2 linked regions of the Arabidopsis thaliana genome follow. The protein of the gene in region 1 interacts with the protein of each later gene in a pairwise test. Each region holds a gene or a part of one and is shown on either strand. Other genes may lie near its edges.

Region 1 (5,999 bases):
AATCTTAAAAGTATATTGAATTTATTACTGAAACGTACAAAACAACACAAACATAAAACAGAAACTATAAAGCTTATTTGGTTCTTCAGATCATCATAAATTGGAGCTAATTCAGTGACCAGCCAGCACCATAAGCTTCTTCCAAGACGGTCTATCCGAAATCTCTTCCCACCACCGGTTAAAACTACCCCGAGCCTTAACCATCTGGTTTATATCGGTTATACTCATCAAGTACCCCATCGCCGGCATGTGCGTCAAATCAGCCATAGTGAATTCTTCACCAGCCAAAAACCGGTTCGAAGAAAGCCGGTTATTGTATATGTCCAAGACCACTCCTAGCTTCACTTTGAGATCCTCGACCAAAACGACGTCACATTTCTCGCCTAACCTAGGCTTGATGATTAGGTTAATCACGAGGGGTTGGGCCAGAACGTTGAAGTAATAGGTCTCCACGTCAGCCCACTGGTCCACGATGGCTCGGTGCTCTAGAGACTTGCCCAAAAGGTTCGTGCCTTGGTCCGCGAACTTGGTAGCGTAGTATCTCGCGATGGCTCGTGATTCTTAGAAGATAAAGAGCCAAATTTCAAAACACTATAAAGAAAATGATAGAAGAATGTTTATAAAATGTTGTTATTAGGATGTTACCAAAAAGCTTGAAATCTCCATCTTCTATGGCTGGAACTTGACCAAATGGCTACACATGAAAACAATAATTATAATATATTTATGTTTTAAGTTTAAGAAATTTGTTTTTTTTACCTGACGAAGAAGATGTTCTGGTTTTTTTTGCTCAAATGTATCAAGATCGATATGAATAATCTCAAATTCAATTCCTTTCTCGAGAAAACAAAGCAAGACTCTTTGTGGACAAGCTGCTGTTACCTGTCCATATAGTTTCACAACCATTCTATAAGTTTACAATAACTTTGTTACGAATAAGAAAGATTTTACTATATGCACTTATTAATATCTTGTCTATCAAACTGGTTTATAAATGAGAAGAAATGAGAGTAGATGTGTTGGCATTTTATTAGACTCAAGATTTGAAGAAACTGGTTGTTGTGAGGGTTGGGTAGAACATGTGGTGGTTGTTCCTCTAACGGTGGATATGTATCATTGAAATTTCTCTACAAACTTTTAGTTCCAACTATCAATAACAAAGTTCCCTTGTTTGGGAATAAAATTTCGATTACTATATATCGCTATCGAATTTTTGTTGTAAATGAGACGAACACTTCTCTTCCCAACAACCACTTTTGACTTGCATAATAAATAAGAAAGATTCAGAGAAAAAAACTACAAAACTAAGTGACGTTTTTGGGGTTCTCAAAGATTTCTACTTCAATCAAGAATAACAATCATTACAAAGTTTCAATACTCTTAATCAAACACATATCCGTTAATCATTTTGTCTAAATCTTCTACTAAACCTAACGTGCTTTACAAGCAAGCTTTGTCTGTTTTTAAGTGAACTGTCTTCTCATGTAAGTATCCTCATGAACAAAAACAGGATCTTCTACTCTCTCTGGAATCTGAGGCTGCCCCATTGCTATTCCTGTTCCTTGGGTCGTTGTGGCAGCAACAATTTGCTTATTTGAAGTCAAACATAAATAGTAGACAATCCCAAGGGCAATAGTAACAAGCGAAAGCACAGCACCGGTAGAGAAAACGCCTGGTTTCACTATGTAGCAAAAGTAGGTACCAGCATTCATTGATTCCTCGGTGTGTTCATCGTTGAGTGCAGCTCCAGAAAGCAGCACGAGGAAAGCTATTACAAAAGTGAACCTATAGTAACGCGAAATCACTCACTCACTAGTTGTAAGCAAATTATAAGTAGGAAACTTGAAGCAAGAAAAGGATTAGAAATGATGAGAATTACCAGGAAACAACAAAGCAGATTAAGGAGATAATCCAATTAGACCTTGAAGGAGCAGGACCTTTTCTACAACAGAAACAACCGCTTGAGACACTGACTATTATCTGAGCCATCATCAGAAAGAGAGCTGAAGTGAAGCCGAGATTGAAAGCTGGACTTCTTGGATAAGTGCATTTTGTGATTGAATCCGAAACGGTAACCGTGACCTGAGATCTCTGCATCGATTTTAAGATAAAAATGAAAAACAAAACCTTCAGAAAAAGTTTGAAACATTGCACAAATACACACCAAGAAAGTTTCTTAATAGACAGAGTAGTTCAAGAGAATAAAACTGATTCTACATACCCTGCAAATTCTATATGACTAATTGATTCTAAAAAAGATGATTCAACCGAATCGACCAATACATAAACCCCATTAAGAAAGGCTATAACTTTGGTTCAATAAATCCAAAAACACATATGTGAATTGTGAAAAGCTTGTGAATGAGACTTAGTTGAATTGGAATCTGACATTAAACATATCAATACATATGCAATTACCAAAACACACCAGAAAACAACTCTTTACCACACAGTCTCTCTACAAAAAAAATTACTATTAAACTTCTCAAAGATCTTCCAAATTTGAAATCAACAAGTTCTTCTATACAAAAACCACCGTGAATGGGGACCATTACTGTTTCATTGAAAAATTCCCAAACCAACGAGTTTCCCACCAATTATTATTCAACTCCCATCTCAAAGATTGAAGCTTTCATCTCAAACGCATTTTCAGGCAATGAATTTCAAAATCGACACATAAAAAGAAACGCAGACAAAACCCAAAAATCCTTTAGATAGAGTTTCAACAAACCATTGTGGCTGTAATAACCCAAAGATCATGAGAAAAACCACAAATTTCACTAAAAAACAGAAACCCTAAAAAGTGCTGAAGAAGAAACCTTGATTCGAGTAGCTTCAGCGACGAAGGCAGTAACAGCTGATAATAAACCAAGAAGAAATAAAACACCACACATCACAATCTTTCTCCTCTCCATCTCTGTCTCTCTCCCACCAACTCCGAAGATGCTGGCTTTTTTTTTTTAGTCTTTGTTTACTTTTTTTCTGCTTCTTCTTCGTTGGTAAGAAAATGGAAAGTTGGTGACAAACCCATTAAACACCGCACTCACTTTTAGTCGGCAAAGTACTCTACTCTCTCCTCCTTATTACATAGATCCACGCGTAATGGTACTTTCAAGTTTCAATAAAATGTATTTTCTCTGTTTTGGTTTGGTTTCTGATTTTGGTTTGATTTGTTCAATTCAGATCCGACCGGACCGGTTTGCTACTGAGGTATGCAAAGAAATTATTTAGAGAAAATTAATCTATTTAAAGTTTCCTCCATTTAACTAAATAAGAATAGCTTATTGGTTACATAGATTTTATTTTATTTAAGAGTTTCATCATTTATAAGACGAACACATTTTATCTGTTTCTTACTATAATTCAAAAATGAATAGAATGACAATATTCTTGACCAAAAATATAAAGAATGAAAATGAGAATTTTGTTCTATCATTTGTATTTTATTCGTCCATGAATTATTTATCTTTATTCATTTCAAATTTACTATTTATCTAATTAAAGAAATTAGATGGACTTATATTTGATAAAATTCTTATGAGGTTTCGTCATATTTACATTTTGGTTTAATCAATCTAAAGATTCTTGTGAATCAAAAAAGATTAGTGCCGCCTTGGATATATTCATCATATAAATGATTCAATCATAGGTCTCTCTTTCTCTCTTATGACATAAGTTAATGATGAATCTATTTTCTATCTTTAGATAAGCCATAATTAATTCATTCCTAGAATCAAGCATGTAAGCAATAGAAAGAATCAAGCATATAAGTAAACTTTCACTCTTATCGCTAAACAAAACGGTATAAAAATATATCGTTTGCGATTTGTTAAATACGTCAATAAGTTTGAATATTCCATAGTTATAAAGATTTCAATATCTCAATTATAGTCCATTATTAGTTTCCATGTTATAGCACACAAAATTAGTGATTAGCGATAATCTCTTACCATAGAAACACAAAATCAAACGCAATATCTTTCAATTAACCACCTTTCTTTATACAAACCTATATATACATTTAGAGATATATATAGATAGAAAACGTATTATCATCGAAATTCGTTCTCATCGTCAAGCATATGAGTCGTCCAAAAATGAAATCTTCGTTGTTCTTTGTCTTGTTATGTTTGTTTCAAATAAACAAATTATGTTTCTGCTTAGAAGAAGAATCTCTAAAGGTTAAAAACGGATTTGGAAGCAATGGATTCATAAGTGTCACTAGTTTCGGAGCTATTGGCGATGGAAAGACTGATGATACTAAGGTGTTTATTTATAGAATCATCACTATTTGTATCAAAGTGGTATGTATAACCTTTGTTTTAATGTATGTGTTATGTGTATCAATATATTTCAGGCTTTTCTTAAAGCATGGGAAGCTGTATGCAAAGGAGGACACAATAGAAAGATTCTTGTGCCTCAAGGGAAAACCTTCATGCTTAAGCCTCTTACATTCATCGGTCCATGCAAGTCTTCGACCATCTCCTTATCGGTATATATATACTTGTCTCTTTCTCTTGTTTCAAATTATATTGGAAAATCCAGCCCTAATGTGAATGATTTCAATAGTGATCGATTTTAGCTTATGAGTAGACAATAACTCGAACCAATGTTTAAATAATTTGGTGATTTATTTACATTAGATAAGAGGTAATCTTGTGGCACCGGGTTACACTTGGTATGCGGGAAGATACACAACATGGATTAGTTTTGACAGTATCAATGGTCTTGTTGTCACCGGAGGTGGTACCATCGACGGTCGTGGTTCTTTGTGGTGGGGCAACGTTAATAATCGCCCCTGCGTAAGTCCATTTGCAAGATCCTCACAACCATAAATATGAACTTCGATCAAATATTTATTCTCAGTTATTAATGATGTTTCTTTTTCTTCCTTGCTTTTCTTAGGCAATGCACTTCAACAACTGTAATGGTCTTAGGATATCTAATCTCCGACATTTGAACAGCCCTCGGAACCATGTAGGTCTAAGTTGTTCACAGAACATCGAGGTCAGGGGTTTAAGGATGACAGCACCCGGTGATAGTCCAAACACGGATGGTATTGACATATCGAACTGTATAGGAGTCCACATACATGACTCAGTGATTGCCACTGGAGATGACTGCATCGCCATTAATAGCGGTTCCTCTCATATCAACATAACCGGCATTTTTTGTGGCCCCGGTCACGGTATCAGGTGATTCCTAAAATCACAGATTCACAAACAATCATCATATAATATACAGCAAGGTACATGCTAAATCATTTATAGTATGGATTTGATATTATAGCGTAGGAAGTCTTGGAGTAACTGGAGATTTCGAAACTGTTGAAGAAGTGAGGGTAAAGAACTGCACTTTTACAAAAACACAGAACGGTGTCCGAATCAAGACATACCAGGTTGTCCATTAATCTTCTTTTTTTATTATACATCATTAGTTCTTGGTCTTATTCAGCATTTTCACAAACTAAATCTGTTTTTTTTTGTTGGCGTGAATGTTTTGTAGAACGGATCGGGATATGCTCGGAAAATCTCATTCGAGGATATCAACATGGTTGCCTCAGAGAACCCTATTATCATAGACCAGACTTACCACAATGGAGGTACGAACGGAGGAATAAGCAAGTCATCTAGTAGCTATCAGAACTGTCATTTAACAGCAAAACAACGGACTCCGTCTGGTAATGGGAAAGGCGTGAAAGTGACTGACGTGCGTTACGCTAGAATCCGTGGGTCATCTGCAAGCGATCAAGACATTACATTGAACTGCGATGCAGACTTGGGATGCTCAGATATAGTGATGGACAATGTGAATATGGTTTCAGCGACATTTGGTCACAAGTTGTTTTCTTCCTGCAAAAATGCTCATGGGTCTTTATTTGCTTCAAAAGTGGATTGTCTGAAACATTAAGTATGCCTTTCTTGTGAAATCCTTTCCTTCAAGAACCAAGAAAGAAAATGGAGTCTTCTCAATTTTTTTCTTAGAAGAGAACCGTTTTT
Region 2 (7,081 bases), on another chromosome or scaffold:
ATGACAAGCGAGTTAAAATCCCCAATTACCAATCATCCATAATATCAACAGTAAATTTACCACGGGCTATGGGTTTAGGGCCACTATATTTTTAAGTGTTTCTGGGGGCCAAATATTTTGTCAATTCTAATATGTTTAGGCCACAATATTTTAAAAGCCTGTTATTGTTTTTTCAAAATTAAAAAGTGTTTTTCAGAGGGGCCATATTAAACATGTTTTGGTTCGTGCGTGGATACATGCTTTTTCATAGCTTTTGATTCCGATTTTTGAAACACAAAGCGAACCTCAGACGAAGTTTCTATATAATCTAATTCTACATACATGGTTACACATATCATGTTATGTTTTTTGTCAAATTATTTTAAAGTTAAACTGAGTCTGAATTGATGTATATACATCTTCACGGATGATTCGACAATGTGATGTTTCCTATGTCCATTATACTCCATATACATCGTACATACATCTTCACGGATAAATATCAAATTTATTTGCTTCTTCAAGCAAGCGTATATGTTTTTTCATACTTCCAAAAGTGTTCTTGTTTTTTAGTAAATGGAGTTTTACGTTTTTAGAGATTCATATTTCTTCTGCGCTGAAAAGTGAAACATAAGATAGGATAATATCTTCGCGCAGCCTGGGAAATGTAGATTGCTCTTTGAAAGTTGTGCCATCTGTTTTTCTTTTGGTCGTCTGCCATTCATTCTAAATAAAGCCCATTACATATACATGTATTTATTCAAAAAAAAAAATACTCAAAATGGTCCGTAAAAATAGAGAAAAAAATACGAACAACTATGTCAACTAAATATTTCGAGAGAAAAAATTATGTTGTTATCATTTTCCAAAAAAAAATAACCCGGAAACATCAACAAATAAAATGAGCAGACTTCTTTAAAATGAGATGATAAACACGTAATAATCTTTTAGAATTTGTTTTTTTGAATTTAATGCAAAATTATATTCAAAAGAAAAAAATACTGTTTGGTACATAGAAATGCATACTTTTTTATGGAAATCAAGTAAAGATTATCTATCCTTGACTTTTTAATTTTTATCTTTGATTTCTACTTGTTGTTTAATATAGTGAACCTATATAAAAGTTTGCGTTGTTTAGAATTCTGATGAATTGGTAAAGATAACAAACTACACGGGCATGTTCACCTCTTTTCACAATGCATTTTGATGAGCATGCAAACATTAACTATACATATCTATATATACATTTTTGCAGCCATTTTGTGAAATAAATCTTGTAGTTGAAACTTATTTACAATGGTTGCCACTGGATTTTAATATTTGTTTTTGATAATTAGAAAAAAAAATTTCGAATTAAATATTTGATATTTAACAATTTCCCTAAAATCTCTCTACATTAACTACACGATTGGTTACTAAAATAAAACTTTCAAAATATTTAATATCATTTAATTACTACAAAATTATCATTATTGATATTGTTTTTCTGCATGACTATTACAATTCAATTATAATCATCAAACCGTAGAGATATTTGATAGCATTTAATTACTAGATAATTTTAAAAATAAATGATTCATAAACATATGATAAATAAGATCAACATTAATAAAATAAAACGGGACGGGTTGGCGGAACGGGTTTGGCAGGACGTTACTTAATAACAATTCTTAACTAGAAAATAAAAATATTTTATAGATAGTTACATAGATAGTTACAAATTGTAAACTTTTATATATACTAATTTTAAAGTATAAATTGTCTCCGCGGTATACCGCGGGTGAAAATCTAGTATATACATATTTTAATAAGATATCTTTTATTATCATTTAATGAAAACATTAAATATGTACTTGTTTTTTGTTTCTCTTATAATTCAGGTACTTTGAACAATTAAATAGATAATTTAGCACAAAAGGTATACTATATCCATATAACATTATATTTGTAATCTATGTGCCATCCATTTCTAAACTTTGTAACTTTAACATAGTTGTTGACAATAGAAGTTGCACTAAAAGATTGTTTTTTATAATTATGTGTAAAGAATAATTTACAAAAAATTGGTGAAAGGATGGATATCTTTTGCAAATTTACCAAGAAAAAAAAAAGAAGAGAATATCGGAGGTGAGAGACGTGTATCCACGAGCCAACCATGTTTAATATCAGGCTTGGTTCCCACTATTGCATGACATGGCATCATCCCCATGGTTCTTTCGATCTCGCCAGGTCATCAACCTAAGTGGACCATTTATTTCGCATGATACACACCACCTGTTTATTTCTTTATTTGCTTTTTTATTCCCTATACATGCTTTTTGATTTTGATATATACTGTTCGAGGAAACAATACTCCTAAATAGTATAGAAATATTTTAAGAAGACAGAAATATAAATAATTATATTAAAAATCTTAACATTAGTTACAATATATTAATAAATTCAACAAACAGTTTATATATAGTTTATTCATGTTTGAAGCAAAACAAAGTTTAAAAACAAATATTTTCGCATGTTACTTTATCACAAAAAATGATCTAATTATACTAAAAATGATAAATTTATCGAATCTATTTAATATTTTGAAAAGGATTCTATTTACACTATACATATCTATGGACTACGATAGACATTTTTATTTTTAACACACGAGGCCACAAACGAAGGTATACGTGATGCATGAACACTGTGAAGTGTGAAGCTTCCTATATAATCTACATGTTGATGAACGCTCGATAAAATTATAAACCTAATTATTAGTCCAAAGAAATTCTACAAAAATTCTCTATTTAAAAAAAAAAAGATAGTGAAAAAATGTGTCCGTAAGTAAATAAGCGAATTAAATGTAAAATCTGTCCCAGAAAAACAAACAAAACTAAACTAGAAAAGAGAAATTTGAATTTACTTTTCCAAATTCCATTTACACATCAAAATTTTATTTATTTGTTTATGAGTGATTATCCGAATTACCTCCACCAAATAAAACCCTATCTTATTTCCCCCTAAATTATTAGAAAAATATAAAGTGATTAAGATTCTTTTGAAAGTTTGTGTTTATACTTTATCTTGTACTAAGAGAAACAGAACTTCCCTATAAAAAGCAAAAGCAAGTAAGAATAACGTGTTAAACTAAAACCTCGAAAACAACAAAACCCGAAACTGAAACAGAGAATCCAAAAAAAATGCCACAACTCGAGAACAACGAGCCACTTCTAATCAACGAGGAAGAAGAAGAAGAAACAGCGTACGATGAAACAGAGAAGGTACATATCGTAAGAAACGAAGAGGAGGACGATCTAGAACACGGCGTCGGATGCGGCGGCGCACCACCGTTCTCATGGAAGAAGCTATGGTTATTCACCGGACCTGGGTTTTTAATGAGCATTGCGTTTTTAGATCCAGGGAATCTCGAAGGAGATCTTCAAGCCGGTGCGGTTGCTGGGTACTCTTTGTTATGGCTTCTCATGTGGGCAACAGCAATGGGTCTTTTGGTTCAGCTTTTGTCGGCTAGGCTTGGTGTTGCGACAGGTCGTCACTTAGCTGAGCTTTGTCGTGATGAGTATCCTACTTGGGCAAGAATGGTTTTGTGGGTTATGGCTGAATTGGCTTTGATTGGATCTGATATTCAAGAAGTTATTGGTAGTGCTATTGCTATCAAGATTTTGAGTAATGGGATTTTGCCTCTTTGGGCTGGTGTTGTTATTACTGCTCTTGATTGGTAAATTCTCAATTTTTAGACATGTGTCTTCTTGTGTTATTGTTTCATTTGTCTGTGTTTGGTCCCAGTTTTGTCTTTTTGGTTTATGGTTCTAATAGCAGTTTAGCTAATCTAATCTATGGATTGTTTGAATTTGGTGTTAGTTAACCATTAGCTGTGTTAATTTCATCTTTACACATGAATTTTTGTCACTATGTGCTCATTTGGTCATTGATTCATATGTGTGTTTTGCTCAAAGTTTTGGTCTTTTTGTTGGAATCAGGAAACTCTAGTGAGTGTTTATGGTTCTAATTGTAATTTAGCTAATCTATTCTATGGATTGCTCAAATTATTATGTGTTAATTGATTAGCTGTGTTAATGTCTCGTGGAATTTCATCTTTCGGTGTGAGTTTTTGGTGTTATGTATCTCATTGATTCATATGTATGTGTTTTGGTCACAGTTTCGTCTTCTTGTTTCTTGAGAACTACGGAATAAGGAAGCTCGAGGCTGTGTTTGCAGTTCTTATCGCTACAATGGGAGTCTCATTCGCTTGGATGTTTGGTCAAGCTAAGCCAAGTGGCTCTGAGCTTCTCATTGGTTAGGCTTTCTTTCTTCTCTTTATCATTTTCTTAATGGAACAGTCTTTTAACTTTTTAAGTTCTGAAGAAGTTAGATTTCTCTTGTTGCAGGGATTTTGGTACCGAAACTGAGTTCAAGAACGATACAGAAAGCAGTTGGAGTTGTGGGTTGCATTATAATGCCACACAATGTGTTTCTTCACTCAGCTCTTGTTCAATCTAGAGAAGTCGATAAACGACAGAAATACCGAGTCCAAGAAGCGCTAAACTACTACACAATAGAATCCACAATTGCTCTTTTCATCTCCTTTTTGATCAATCTGTTTGTCACAACTGTTTTCGCCAAAGGGTTTTATAATACTGACCTCGCCAATAGCATCGGTTTGGTTAACGCGGGACAGTATCTTCAGGAGAAATATGGAGGCGGTGTGTTCCCGATACTATACATTTGGGCGATCGGGCTATTAGCTGCTGGCCAAAGCAGCACTATTACCGGTACATATGCGGGACAGTTCATAATGGGCGGGTTTCTTAATTTCAAAATGAAGAAATGGTTGAGAGCTTTGATCACACGAAGCTGCGCTATCATTCCAACTATTATCGTTGCGCTAGTGTTTGATTCATCGGAAGCTACACTCGATGTCTTAAACGAGTGGCTTAACGTGCTTCAGTCCATTCAAATCCCCTTTGCACTCATTCCCTTACTTTGTTTGGTCTCCAAGGAACAAATCATGGGTAGCTTCAAGATTGGTCCTTTGTACAAGGTTTGTCAATTTCGTTCAAACTCTTTTACTAACATTCTTTAAAGATCGCTTTATTAAGCTCGATCTCACCTTGTTGTGCAGACAATCGCGTGGCTTGTTGCTGCGCTCGTGATAATGATCAACGGTTATCTTTTGTTGGAGTTCTTCTCCAATGAGGTTAGTGGCATAGTCTATACCGGTTTTGTGACACTGTTCACAGCTTCTTATGGTGCATTCATCCTCTACCTCATTGCTCGTGGCATCACTTTCACTCCTTGGCCGTTCAAAGCGGAGTCTAGTCATTGAGACTGGACCAAACAAGACAGTGTAAGCGTAGTAGCTATGTCTTGTAATCCTTAGGATCATGAGTTCTTAGCTTTCTCTCTTGTATTATATGTGTTGTTGTTATAAAGCAGCTCTGGTTTTGTTGAAGAAGGCTCTTCTATGTATCAGTAGTTAGGTCCCAGAGACGAGAATTAATAAGAATATGTTCACATCTAAACCAATGTTGACACAGATCAAAAGAAACTTTGGGGAACATTCCCAAAAGTGTACATTTAATCGTCCGATCAGAGTTTCACAGTTTCAAGGATTCTCAAATACTTTAAAGTACATATTGTGGATATAGTCAGGGCAAATTCGATACACAAGGTAAAATGATGGAACCAAAATTTCCATAGATAAACACAAAATCTACTTGTTCTAATATGGTATATTATTAAGGGCTTTGTCCCGATCTATTACATTGGCATCTATGTTTTTGTTAATGTATTTTGGGAAGTGCAGTCTTGCTCATCTTGGCATTCATTGCCTCTTTGTCTTCCCTCTTGTTTGGAGTGGTTTGTTTTGGGTACAAACCAACGTCCCACATTTGAAGTTTAGAAAATAGTTTCCCATATATAAGCAAGTTCAACTTCAACTAGTAAGAGACATTTTGGGAAGGAGATCAATAACAAATCCTTGCGGATTTGAGCATGTAGATTCAAAAAGGACAATATTATACTAAAGGGGAGTTGGAATGGGCTTGGAAAGCCTAATAAATGGTGTTGAACGTGGGTTGAAAAAAATGGACCTAGGGCTTGGACTGTATAATCGGTGTGGGAGAAGCCTACCATGTAACACGATAAGAAGGATACCTCAAGAGAACCTCACAAATAAGAAGGTGTCGAGTCATGGTCCCAAGGTTTCTCTGAAGGGGACGCCCATGTTCGTGGTCCTTGGTTTGAAGGGGAGATTGTTGGGTACAAACCAACGTCCCACATCTGAAGTTTAGAAAATAAGTTTCTAATATATAAGCCAAGTCCAACTCCAACTAGTAAGAGATCTTTTGGGAAGGATCCCAATAACAAATCCTTGCAGGTTTGAGCATGTAGACCCAAAGAAAACAATATCATAGTAAATGGGAGTTGAAATGGGCTTGGGAAGCCCAATAGTTTGCGGATTGCACTGGATGCAGTCTCTCATGAAGTCATTGGGATCGACTTGTTTCAATCTCGCTTAGCTTCCTTTGTGTTGTATCTTGCATTTATCCCTAGTTTATCTTCTTTTGAAATATTGTTAGGCATTTCTTGCCTTGTTACCTTATATTTTCCCTTTATTTGGATTGTATTTGCTCCTCTTTTGACTGAGTCTGAGACTTAATTTGAATGAAAATTATGGACCAAACAAAACACACAAAATCTACTAAGATAAGTGAGGTGAATTAGCCAAGAGATAAATCCATAGATATTGGCATGTTTTATGTATATATATATATATGTCTGATTACATATATGGAAGAACAAATATTACTTAGGGGATTTTGGAAAAATGTATTTTGATACAAACTTATCTTACAGTATAACCGTTTATATGTTCAAATATTTATAATATTATAAACGTTTTCTTAATTTTAAATATATGAATTATAATGTTTATAACTCTTTAAAACCTTAGAAATGGAGATGGTACATATCCTAAAAATCTTTACATCAATCGAATTTTCAGACAATCATGGCCTTTATGGCCTTTCATTTGAAAAAACTTGTTTATATGTATTTGAACTATATTATGTGGGAATGTTTATTAACAAACCATTGTGAG

What was found. Proteins that work in one complex are often made in the same cells at the same time.
Region 2: the proteins of AT5G17210 (region 1) and NRAMP3 interact in a protein complementation assay, tested with the Arabidopsis thaliana proteins (one large-scale study listed by BioGRID).

The regions. Positions count from the first base shown.
Region 1 is NC_003076.8:5,653,435-5,659,433, reverse strand, and holds AT5G17210 (transmembrane protein, putative (DUF1218)), read right to left. Parts: upstream 3,087-5,999; 5' UTR 2,916-3,086; coding exon 2,820-2,915; exon of another isoform or gene 2,556-2,819; intron 2,092-2,555; coding exon 1,880-2,091; intron 1,786-1,879; coding exon 1,464-1,785; 3' UTR 1,241-1,463; downstream 1-1,240. Other genes in the region: GSTF12 (glutathione S-transferase phi 12), read right to left, coding at 112-560, 646-694, 760-906; AT5G17200 (Pectin lyase-like superfamily protein), read left to right, coding at 4,098-4,265, 4,358-4,492, 4,644-4,802, 4,906-5,195, 5,290-5,398, 5,506-5,910.
Region 2 is NC_003071.7:9,854,646-9,861,726, reverse strand, and holds NRAMP3 (natural resistance-associated macrophage protein 3), read left to right. Parts: upstream 1-2,948; 5' UTR 2,949-3,161; coding exon 3,162-3,697; intron 3,698-4,138; coding exon 4,139-4,275; intron 4,276-4,367; coding exon 4,368-5,020; intron 5,021-5,101; coding exon 5,102-5,305; 3' UTR 5,306-5,578; downstream 5,579-7,081. UniProt on the Arabidopsis thaliana protein: Vacuolar metal transporter involved in intracellular metal homeostasis. Can transport iron (Fe), manganese (Mn) and cadmium (Cd). Regulates metal accumulation under Fe starvation.